Linked DNA regions of Caenorhabditis elegans. The protein of the gene in region 1 purifies or fractionates together with the protein of each later gene. This does not show direct contact. Each region holds a gene or a part of one and is shown on either strand. Other genes may lie near its edges. The genes, in order: C04A11.2 and nhr-202.

Evidence for each region.
Region 2: the proteins of C04A11.2 (region 1) and nhr-202 fractionate together in Caenorhabditis elegans (co-fractionation; one large-scale study listed by BioGRID). This does not show direct contact.

What each region holds. Positions count from the first base shown.
Region 1 is NC_003284.9:13,665,283-13,670,717, reverse strand, and holds C04A11.2 (uncharacterized protein), read left to right. Parts: upstream 1-1,889; 5' UTR 1,890-2,019; coding exon 2,020-2,048; intron 2,049-2,561; coding exon 2,562-2,642; intron 2,643-2,721; coding exon 2,722-2,783; intron 2,784-2,829; coding exon 2,830-2,965; intron 2,966-3,014; coding exon 3,015-3,342; intron 3,343-3,546; coding exon 3,547-3,769; intron 3,770-3,969; coding exon 3,970-4,169; intron 4,170-4,244; coding exon 4,245-4,366; intron 4,367-4,417; coding exon 4,418-4,517; intron 4,518-4,565; coding exon 4,566-4,604; 3' UTR 4,605-4,760; downstream 4,761-5,435.
Region 2 is NC_003283.11:460,608-465,501, forward strand, and holds nhr-202 (Nuclear Hormone Receptor family), read left to right. Parts: upstream 1-1,980; 5' UTR 1,981-1,992; coding exon 1,993-2,132; intron 2,133-2,179; coding exon 2,180-2,310; intron 2,311-2,350; coding exon 2,351-2,421; intron 2,422-2,551; coding exon 2,552-2,680; intron 2,681-2,730; coding exon 2,731-2,940; intron 2,941-3,032; coding exon 3,033-3,229; intron 3,230-3,836; coding exon 3,837-4,101; intron 4,102-4,147; coding exon 4,148-4,249; 3' UTR 4,250-4,356; downstream 4,357-4,894. Other genes in the region: nhr-203 (Nuclear Hormone Receptor family), read left to right, coding at 193-402, 454-650, 754-1,021, 1,070-1,171.

The DNA.
Region 1 (5,435 bases):
TTTTCAGAAGAAAAAAGAGAGATTTCAAAAGAAAAAACAACAAGTATGAAGTTCAACTTTATCAAAGATTTCCGTTCGGCAAAATCAGATGTTTCCAGTAGATATGTCCATTTTTTATGGTTATTAACAAGGCATACAATAGAAATTTGTTAGAGTTGATTCGGTGTAATACTGAAGGTGTCGGATATTTTTTTTTTCAAAAAAATAATAAATAAGTGTCAACAAGTCTAACAGAAACATGGAGCAAAATGACACATTTTTCGGAGTCGTACCTTTCATTTGTCAAATTTGACTTGTTTTGCGAATTGGGCAGGGGCAGTGCCAATATGAAGAACAATTTCATACAATTATACAATTTTTTAAGAAGAAAAACTGATAGAAAATCATAAAGAAAAAGTGTTTAGAACGTAAAAAAAATAAAATTCAAGTTCTCATTCTACATTTTGAATAATGACTTTCAGGCTTGAAAAAAAAAGAAATCGCAAATTTAAAATTCTAAGAAACGTTCCGGGAGTTTCATTAATTTCCTAAATGGTTCCCTGATTATTCAAATTTTACAACGGGTTTTTGAAATTTCCAATGTTTTGAATATACAAACAATAACTATTTTTTTGAAGAAACATGTTTTTGCCTACCGGAGCAGAACTTTTTTATTTCCACAACGTACAGTTCAAATCTAACAGGCCTAGAGATCGTCAATTTTCTTATCACCAAAAGAACTCCAAGAATGCCACTAATAACATTACGCAAAAAATCGATAAAATGTCGAAAAACAAGCGAAATGGTCAGTGCGACAAGGGGCGCAGAGCAAACGTGGCGAAAAAGGGTAAACAAAGGTGAACAGTGAAAAGAGATAGTAGAAAGAAGGAGGGAGGGCGTATTTGAATGAATAGTACGCAATTCTCATGTGGTGTGTTTGCGGACCTTGGCAGCGGCAGAGTTGTGCATTTAAATAGGGTCGGCTCCAAAGAGCACAATTAAGTTTTTTGGTTATTAATAAAATTTTAGAAGGGGAATAAACTTTTTTGTTACAAAACAAGTTTCTTATCTCACACTAGATATTTCTTGTCTTCACTGTGATATTTATTGATTTTTTTTGTGTTTTGTGTCAAAATTGAACTAGTTTCATAGTTCAACGTTGTTTAAATAATACTTGAAAATATGTTTTCCGTTGAACACGAAACGAGAATAGTAAATCTAGTGCCTTTTGTTTGAGAAAAGAAGGATAGCGTTAGTTAGAAATATTTTTTGAAAAGGGTTTCAAAAAAAAACATTATGCAAGAGTTAGAAATGATATTACTGAAAAATAATATATATTTAAAATTTGACAAGATTTTTCTTTTGTGTCAATTAGTAAGTTTCTAGGTAATTTTAAAAAAAAAGTCTAACATACCTTGTTAACGATACAGTCAAGTTTGATATTTTTCCACAAAATCAAGACTGAATATTTGCACTAGATGCGTTTAAATTTGGTCGTTCTTGTTTCATATGCTATTGATATTTTCAAGAAAAATTGTTTTTTTTTCAATCCCGTATTCAATTTCAAAAATTTTTCTCTGAATCGGGAACTTTGAAATCAACAAAATCCACACCGGATTTCCTTTGTTGACAAAGTTTTTGGAGTGTGTTTTTCTTTAGCTAGCCGTAAAGGGTCCTTAACTTGTAAAAACCTATTAATATTGTCGTATACATTATTGAATTCATTATTGAATTGTCAGGTTTCAAATTTGTTTTGCCGGTTCTTGTTTTGCACATTTACCTTCTTCCTTTATCCATTTCAAATCCAAGCCTAGCATTAGGACACTGTTCTAATTGGTTTGTTGGTATTCCTTGCCTCATTTCATTTTCTCCGTGCTCTCTCGGTTTCACACAGTCTATTACGTATTTAGGAGCTAATAGGTAGCGTCTGCTCGGACCAAGGACACAAGACCGCCTTCCAGTGCACCGCACCTGTCGTCCTTTTCTATCTCAATTCACTTCCCGGATACCAGTTCAGTTGACTCGGCTTACGGATCAAATATGAATCCAAATGACTCAATGACACTTTGGTATGTTTTAAGTTTATTAACTTTTAGAATTGTTTTATATTTCAGAATGATAATATTCTAAACGTTTTCTAAAATAAAAAGTTTACAAAAAATAAAAAATAAAAACACATCAAACGCATACAATATGACAATAATTATAATTTTTCCATGTAACTTTTAACTTTATTTTGGTTGAGCTCGTGTCACAGCTCTTATTTCCTTCGAATCGCCATCAAAATGAAATTCATGTTTTATAATCTTATTTTTACTAAATAAATTGAACGACGTTTTTAGAAAATCAATTTCAAACTATACGTTTTCGGCACATAATCGATATTTTCCAGGCCATGTCAGTCGGAGAATTCAAAAATATACATCACGTTTTCGTTTAAAAATTAACTTCTAAAAATGTGTCGAGTAACGAAAATTATCTAAACATGCTAAAATAATATGTTCTCAAACGTAAGCTAAACAGTATAAAAAGTTAAGGTGATTTTTTAAATACTTCATTGTCAATTTTAATTATAATTTCAGGAGCTCCTACAAAACCACTGAACAACGTATTGGACCCCTACCATCCACATCTACTCCGTTGAAAACTCCTCGATCTCATAGGTTACTTTTTTTACTTTTTTTTTTCATTTTTACTTTTCCGTTGATTTATGCACATACAACACTGACATAATAATTGCAGAGGTCCGGAAGAACCAAATGTCACTACTATTGTTGTGGATACTGAGCAGGATGAAAACAGAAGTAGGCTCTCCAAAAGTGAAACACGGCTTAGTTAGAGTATTTTCAGATTTGTGCAATTCAACGCAAAGCTTACACATTTCATGTCGCACCTGCAGAGAATTAAAGTTGGAAGTTCAGGAGCTTCGAAAAACTGTTGAAAAACAGGCACAATATATTCAAGTTCTCAAGAAATCTCTCAACTCGTATGTAGTGAACAAGAATGTCTCTCAAAAAATATTGTTTTTTTTTCAGAACAAGTGAAATGGATTCTTCTGAATCTCAACATGGAAATGGGTCAACAGCGAGTAGCGTCACAAAAAGCAGCACACGCGTCCAGAGAGTAACGCCCACCAAACGAGATATGGCATCCAGTGGCAGTACGAGCACAAGTAGTAGTACCTCAACTCCAGTCGTCAGAAATATTTTGCAACAACTAACAACGCCAAGGTCTGCTAGAACATCTACTAGAGCTGCATCAGGAAACAGAACACCTACTGGAACACCAAATATGACGAGAAACGTGAGGCCAGTCACAAATAGGACAAGCTCCAGCAACGTATCCCCAGCAGCACAAGTGACCGTTAGTTTTACAACATAAAAAGCAAACTTATAAAGTTCAGGCAAAATGGGAATAATTAGACAAGTTGCATAAATAATTTGTTTTGCTGTTCCTGCATAAACTAAGCTTTTTGATTTTTAGATGTTATACAATCGTACAGTTAGACTACGTTTTTGTAAAATTGAACAGACTTACTCCTATATTTATTTAATAATTTATTTTCAGCCCGGAACCTCTTCAAATCACCGGTCCAGACTTCCTCCAACGATCCGAGTGCCTCAATCTGAGCCGATTGGAACTCGTTCGCGTCCAGCAAGATACCAATCACAAACACTTCCAAGACAATTAACAGCTAACAATTCTAGAAGATCACAGTCTAGACGAAGGCTATTTGTGGATGAAGAAAGTAATAATGAAGATCGTAATGAGGAGCAGCCTGAAGTTAACCGTAAGTGGCGTAATTGGCAAACTTGAGATTGAATATTGATTTGACTGGTTATTTTGGAAAGTGAGACCTCAAATAAGGTGTAGGGCAAAAAATTAAAATATTTGTTACACCTTATGGAGAATGAATGTCAGTGATATCAGCAGTGATACCAGTGATATCAGAAAAATCATACACAGTTTCAAGTTAATTCTTAACTTTAGAATACCACCGCACACGCAGTGAAGCAGCAATCGAGCATCTCAACATTTCCCCAATGAAGGATGATCAGTGGGCTCGAGCGTGCCCGCCACGAATTCATCTCGAACGAAATCGCCCAGAATTCATCGAACGCGTCGAAGCCCGGCAAAGCATTATTCGAGCTGCGTCTGAGAAACGAGCAGAAATCGAGCATCGAAAACGAGTGAGTGCACTTCTTGAAAAGTCTTTGGATACGTTTTTTTTTTTTTTTTTTCAAATCGAAGACAATTATTTTTAGCTCGCAGCTAGAGCAGTGGCCAGTGGACAAAGGAGTGTAGAAAGTGTTAGCAGAGAGCTCTTTGCTGATTCAACGGCAGTCAAAGCTTTTTATGAGGAAGATATGAAGGAGATGACAATGAAGTATGTTTTTTGAGAACAATTATCTCAAAACAAAAAAATCCCAATTTTCAGAAATATTCGAAAATCCCAATCTTACCAAAACCGAATTCATCAAAGAATTGCCAATGTTGATAGAAAGGCCAATAGAATCATTGCACAAACGCATAGTTTGGTAGGTTGTTCACAATTTTTCCTTTGCCAAATGGTTGAAACATTTCAGAGAGCAAGATCCACTTCTCGATCACGATATCACCAATAACTGCTTCGAATCAAAAATGTATTGTCCTGTAAATTGAAAATGTTCTGTGCCATTTTGATCTCATTAAAAAGTGTTGTACATTCCAGCTTTTAGCATATTTTGTAATAACAACAATAGTTATGATTATTTGATTTTTTAATGAAACAAAATGCATTTATTGAAAAATAATGAGCTGAAAATACAAAGCTGTATGATTATAATGTTATGTTACAGATAGAACCCCCAACTGAAATGAAATTTTGGCGGTTTTTATTATTGCTTTGTTTTATTGAGGAACATGCTAAATTAAGAATCCGAAAAAAGCAAATAAAATGTTATGGTTATTCTAACATGATTATTTCAAACTCTATAAAACAAGAAAACAGTTTTAACTTGTTGTTTCTGTCAACTAACGTTCCTGACCAAATTCCTGACCGTTCCACCAAAACTGCAAAAATATCTGCACGAAGTGGGATTCGAACCCACGCACCCATACGAGTACCAGAACACCCAGGAGACCTCGTACTTGAGGCAAGCAATCGCTTGAGTCTGGCGCCTTAGACCACTCGGCCATCCGTGCTACGAAAGAGTATACTAGTGGCCTCGTACACATGCAAGAGTAACGGCAGAGAGAGAGAGACAGCGAGAGGAGAGAAAGGAAGGGGAGAGGGCATAACATGTGGTACACGTAAGATGAAGACGGGTGAAATAGTACCAAATACAATTTTAGGCGTTCGAAAAAAAAAGTGGTATTGCAAATATTTGGAAACTTTATTGTCAATAATTTCCTGCAACACTCCAAACATTATTACCGTCCAAAATATTGTATTTGTTATCATGATATAAGAGCAT
Region 2 (4,894 bases), on another chromosome or scaffold:
CAAAATTTGAACTTCCCGTCAAACATTTTTTTCTTATAAAATTTGAATTTCGCGGCAAATTTTTTTTCATAAAAATTGTCTTTCCCGCCAAAATTTTCCTCGAAAATTTGAACTTCCCCCAATACTTTTATACCGACCACAACAAGAACTTATTGCCATGCTCCCGGAAACAAAGAAAAATCGATATTCCAGGGCTGCGAATCACCTATCAGACAACCGAACATCTTGAAAAAACTGGCTCTAGGCCTGGAAAAAATTCGCAGTACTCAGTGCAATGTGACAAAAATCCTGTCAAAATTCGGGAAGGACGAAGTTCTTGCAATGTGGGAAACTGATATGTTGAAGATTGCAAAATGGTTCACATATTTCGACAATTTCCAGAAACTTCCATATAATCTTCAGGTTTGTGCCGGTAGATCAAACTTATACTAATGAAAAAAAAAACTTTTGCAGATCGATATGATCAAGCAAGTCTGGGCTATTTGGGCGGCAATGGAAAAGCTGGCAAATACTGCAAATGCTAAAAAAAATTCCACATGCGAAAGTGCGAATGTTGTGCTTCAGATTGACGATGATTTGGTGGCCTGTGAACAGTCGATCGAGATCGATCTTTCCTGGTGCTCGAGTTATAAAACCGAGCAGTTGCAGTTGTGAGTTTTGGAATCCACAGCGGCCGACATCGATCGAGGCTTGCGATAAATGTCGGCTGCTTCTTATCATATACCCGGAGATCAACGATAATAACATTTTCAGCTTCGACTTTGACCATCAAGCTCAGCTCGAATATTTAGTGCAACTAATGGTAGATCTCAATCCAACAGACGAAGAACTCAGTTATATGCTATGCCATATTTGCTTCGAACATATCAAAAAATCATGTGACAGGTTTACTCAAGAAACCGTTGAGCAGCTTCAAGACACCCTTTCTGATCATTTACATGACTACTACATAAACCATGAAAACCGCCCGACTTACTCAGGAAGGATCGTTTCAATGATAAAGCTCAACAATGCTTTTCAGGTTTTTTGTTCTATGAATTCTAAAATTAACCTTTTTTTGAAATTTCAGAAGTACGTCCAGCGGGAACGACTGAAATGTGAACTGATGAGACTGTTCAAAGTGTTATTCGTGGAGTATTCAAATCCTGAATTATTTGTGGATTATTGGTAGTCAATGGAAGTGCGGAAGATCTCAAAAAATTATGTTTTTTTTTTCTAAAAAAAAATCATTTGTTTGTATCTCAACATGCTTTATTATTACGGCAAAACGACGAATAAAATATTTTAATTTGAATTTAACTCTGGATTTTAAATAGAATAAAATTTTGAATTTTGCGTGAAAATATAATACTATATTGGACATAATTCAGGAATTCCAAAATTATTTTTTTGAAAAAATTAGATTTCCGCGGTAAATTTCAGAAAAAATATTGAAGTCTAAGTTTCGCGCCGAATTGTTTGAAAATTTTGAATTTTGCGTCAGCTCTCGCCGAGCTATTTTTGAAAAAAAATTACAAATTTTTCGAAAACTTCAATTTTGCTGAAAATTAATTGAGAACGTTGAACCTTGCGCTGAAATTTCTGTAAAATGTTTTTAAAAAATGAAGGGTTTTGCTCAAAAATAATCACGCACTACAAACTACAAAAACTACAAACTATAAATAAACCATTATTTTTAAATTTAAAACCCTATGTTTCTTGAGCATTTAGAAGATAGTGATGCCACTTTTTACATTAAAGTCGACAAAAATTTTTATTAGGTCACTTTTTCCTATTATTATACTCTTTGATCTTTCAAACTGTAGGGCACCCACACATACACTACAAAATACGCGTTTTGTCCTTCCATTTTCTCTGCGCTCTCTTCAAAGTTCAACAAATAATTTTTTCATCATATGGTTACACCGATTTGAAAATGTCTTTATTTGATTTTTACGCTGGTTAATTTATGCTGAAACAATACATTAAAAATACATATTCCAGGAAAACAAAATGGATACCCCTTGCTCATCCGGCTCCTCACCACCGGACCTCACCATTTCTACCACTAAAAAGTGCCCGGTTTGCTATAAGCCGCCCCATGGGATTCATTTCGGAGCGTACACCTGTCGAGCTTGTGCGGTGTTTTTCAGGTAAATTTCTAATTCTAATATTTTAACAATATTTTACAAAATTCCAGGAGATTCGGAGCTTCAAACAATCTCAAGCCATGTAAAAAGAACAATGTTTGCGATTTTTACAAAAATGGATATGTGAGCTGTAAAAAGTGTCGATTAAAAAAATGCTTCGAAATTGGGATGAAAATTGAGAGTAAGGGATCTGGCTCCCTATTAGTACTAGTTTTTTTCAGACTTTCAATTCGAAAGGGACCCATACAAGAGAAGTTCAATATGCATCAGTCTAGCTGGAAGAATTCCACCGGTAAGTTGTCTTATAAAAAAACGGAAAATTGTTATTGAGACTGAAATAAGTGGCCCGACATCCTCCGGGTTCCACGCCTCACCATCAAAAACCCAAACTCAAGGTCGGGCCATGCACATACAATTTCCAGACGCTTGAAACATTCCTTGCTCGACCAAGCTTTATAATTCTCACTGCTCCACCAAAAGATGCACAAAATCCCAAGGTCTATATCGATGTCAAATTTTTGATTGACAAGTCCTACGGGGAGTTACTAAAGGCAAGATATTTCCAGCTAGTACAAGCTTTAACTAAAGTTGTGTACTTCAGGGCATTGAAACACCTATTCAAACGTCGAATATTTTGAAAAAGCTGGCTTTGGGTTTACAGCAAGTCCGGGGGTCTCAGAGAAAAGTAACGAAACGGCTAGAAAAATTCGGAAAAGATGAAATGTTTGCAATGTGGGAAAATGATATGCTGAAAGTTGCCAAGTGGTTCACCTACTTTGAAGATTTTCAACAGTTTTCTTCGGAATTTCAGGTAAAGTTTAAAAATTTTGCAATGTTTTGTGTACAAATTACAATAAAAATATTTTTTTATTTATAAAAATAAAAATAAATAAAAATATTTAGATAGAGATTATTAAAAAAGTTTGGATTGTCTGGAATGGTTTGGAAAAGCTGGCAACTACCGCCAAAATGAGAAAGCGGATGAATTGTGATGATATTCTTATGGTATTACAAATGGAAAATGATCTAGTGGCTTGTGGGAAGTCGGTAGAGTTCGACTTATCTTGGTGCTCAAATTACAAAGCGGAGCAGTTTGCATTGTGAGCATTATTTTAAAAAAATTAAATCATTGCCTATATATTAAAAAATAGTGTACGTCTGTTGACTACGTCATCAATGGGCGGAGCCTCTCCATTTGTGGCGAGACTCATCGTTGCGAGTCCCATCGTGGCGAGACGCATCAAAAGAAAAATATTTCGGCAGGAAACTGAAAATTTTCTAAGAATACAATTTTGGCGAAAAAATTAAAATTTCTGAGAAAAGTTGTTAGCGGGTCTTTCCAGAAAAATCTTGAAATTTCTAGAAAAATCTGGAAAATTTTAGATTTTTCTGGAAACTTCTAGAGTTTCCTACAATAATCAGGAAACTTCTAGAAATATGTTTAGAGTAATACAAACTTGAAATTTTGATTTTGTTCTGAAAATTAGCTGAAACTTAATTTATAAAATTGAATTAACCGAAAAAATTGACTGAAAAAAATTACCCGAATTTTTAGTTTAGTCTCAATTTGGCGGCCAATTTAAAAATGTTTTTGAAAAATCCAATTTCACTCTACAACTCACCAACTTAAAAACGTAAGACTTGAAAATTCATCAATTTTGTTTTACGAACTTTTCGAAAAACATTACTCTCTTACTATTTTTTCAGCATCGATTCAAATTGGAACAAACATGAAGAGCTGCTGGAATTGATGGTACAACTCAACCCAACAGATGAGGAACTTTGTTACATGCTATGTCATTTGTGTTTCCAACAAATTAGCAAACAATGTGACGGGCAAATACTTGAAGCCGTTGAGCAATTTCAAGATTCTATATCAAATCATTTACACGACTATTACTTGAACCATTTGTCCCGCCCGAATTATTCCGGAAGGATTGCTGCTTTGATGAAGCTTAATAGTATTGCTCAGGTATTTTATATTAAACCTTGTCTGGAAAAAACTCTGAAATTTCCAGCAATTCATCTACCAAGACCAAATAAATGTGGAGATTTTGAAAGTGTTCGAAGTGTTTTTTGTAAACTTTTCCCATCCGGAATTATTTATGAACTACCAATAACGAATTCATAATCTGTAAATAAACACCTATATTCTTGGCACATTTTTGCTCTTTTTCTAAAGTACCAAGTGCTCTTCGCACCTATTGTTTGCACTACAAACTACACTATATTATTCCACATCAGACATTTCTCGTAGAGTCTGCGTCTTCTTTTAAATTTCTCGTCATATGCTCGGAACTACCTTTACAACTTTTTTTAAAATCGGAGGTGCTTGTTTTAATTACTTTGAAAAATGACGTTATCTATTTTTTTTGAATCGTTAAACTTTTCAAAAAATATTATTTAGATTTTTCGTTTCTGAAAGAAAATTTGTTTGGAAAAATGTAATTGTTCTTGTTCGTTGACATTATTTTTAAACATACACAAAATCTCAAAATAGTTTTGAAACTTTTTTTTTTTGGATTTTTGGATTTTTAAAATTTTCATGTGTCATTTTGTTATTTTCAGCATCAAAAATTTCAGCTCATTTATGGAAAATCCGATTTTTTTTCTAAAAAAACCTGAATATTTTATTTTGTTCCCCAGCACTTTAGGATATTCCCCCTAAAGCAAGTAAGCTGTGTAAATACTACCAGGTCCATTATAACACCCGCAGAATACCCGAGAAAAGTCGGCAATTGCAAACATGTGGGGAAGAGACCAAA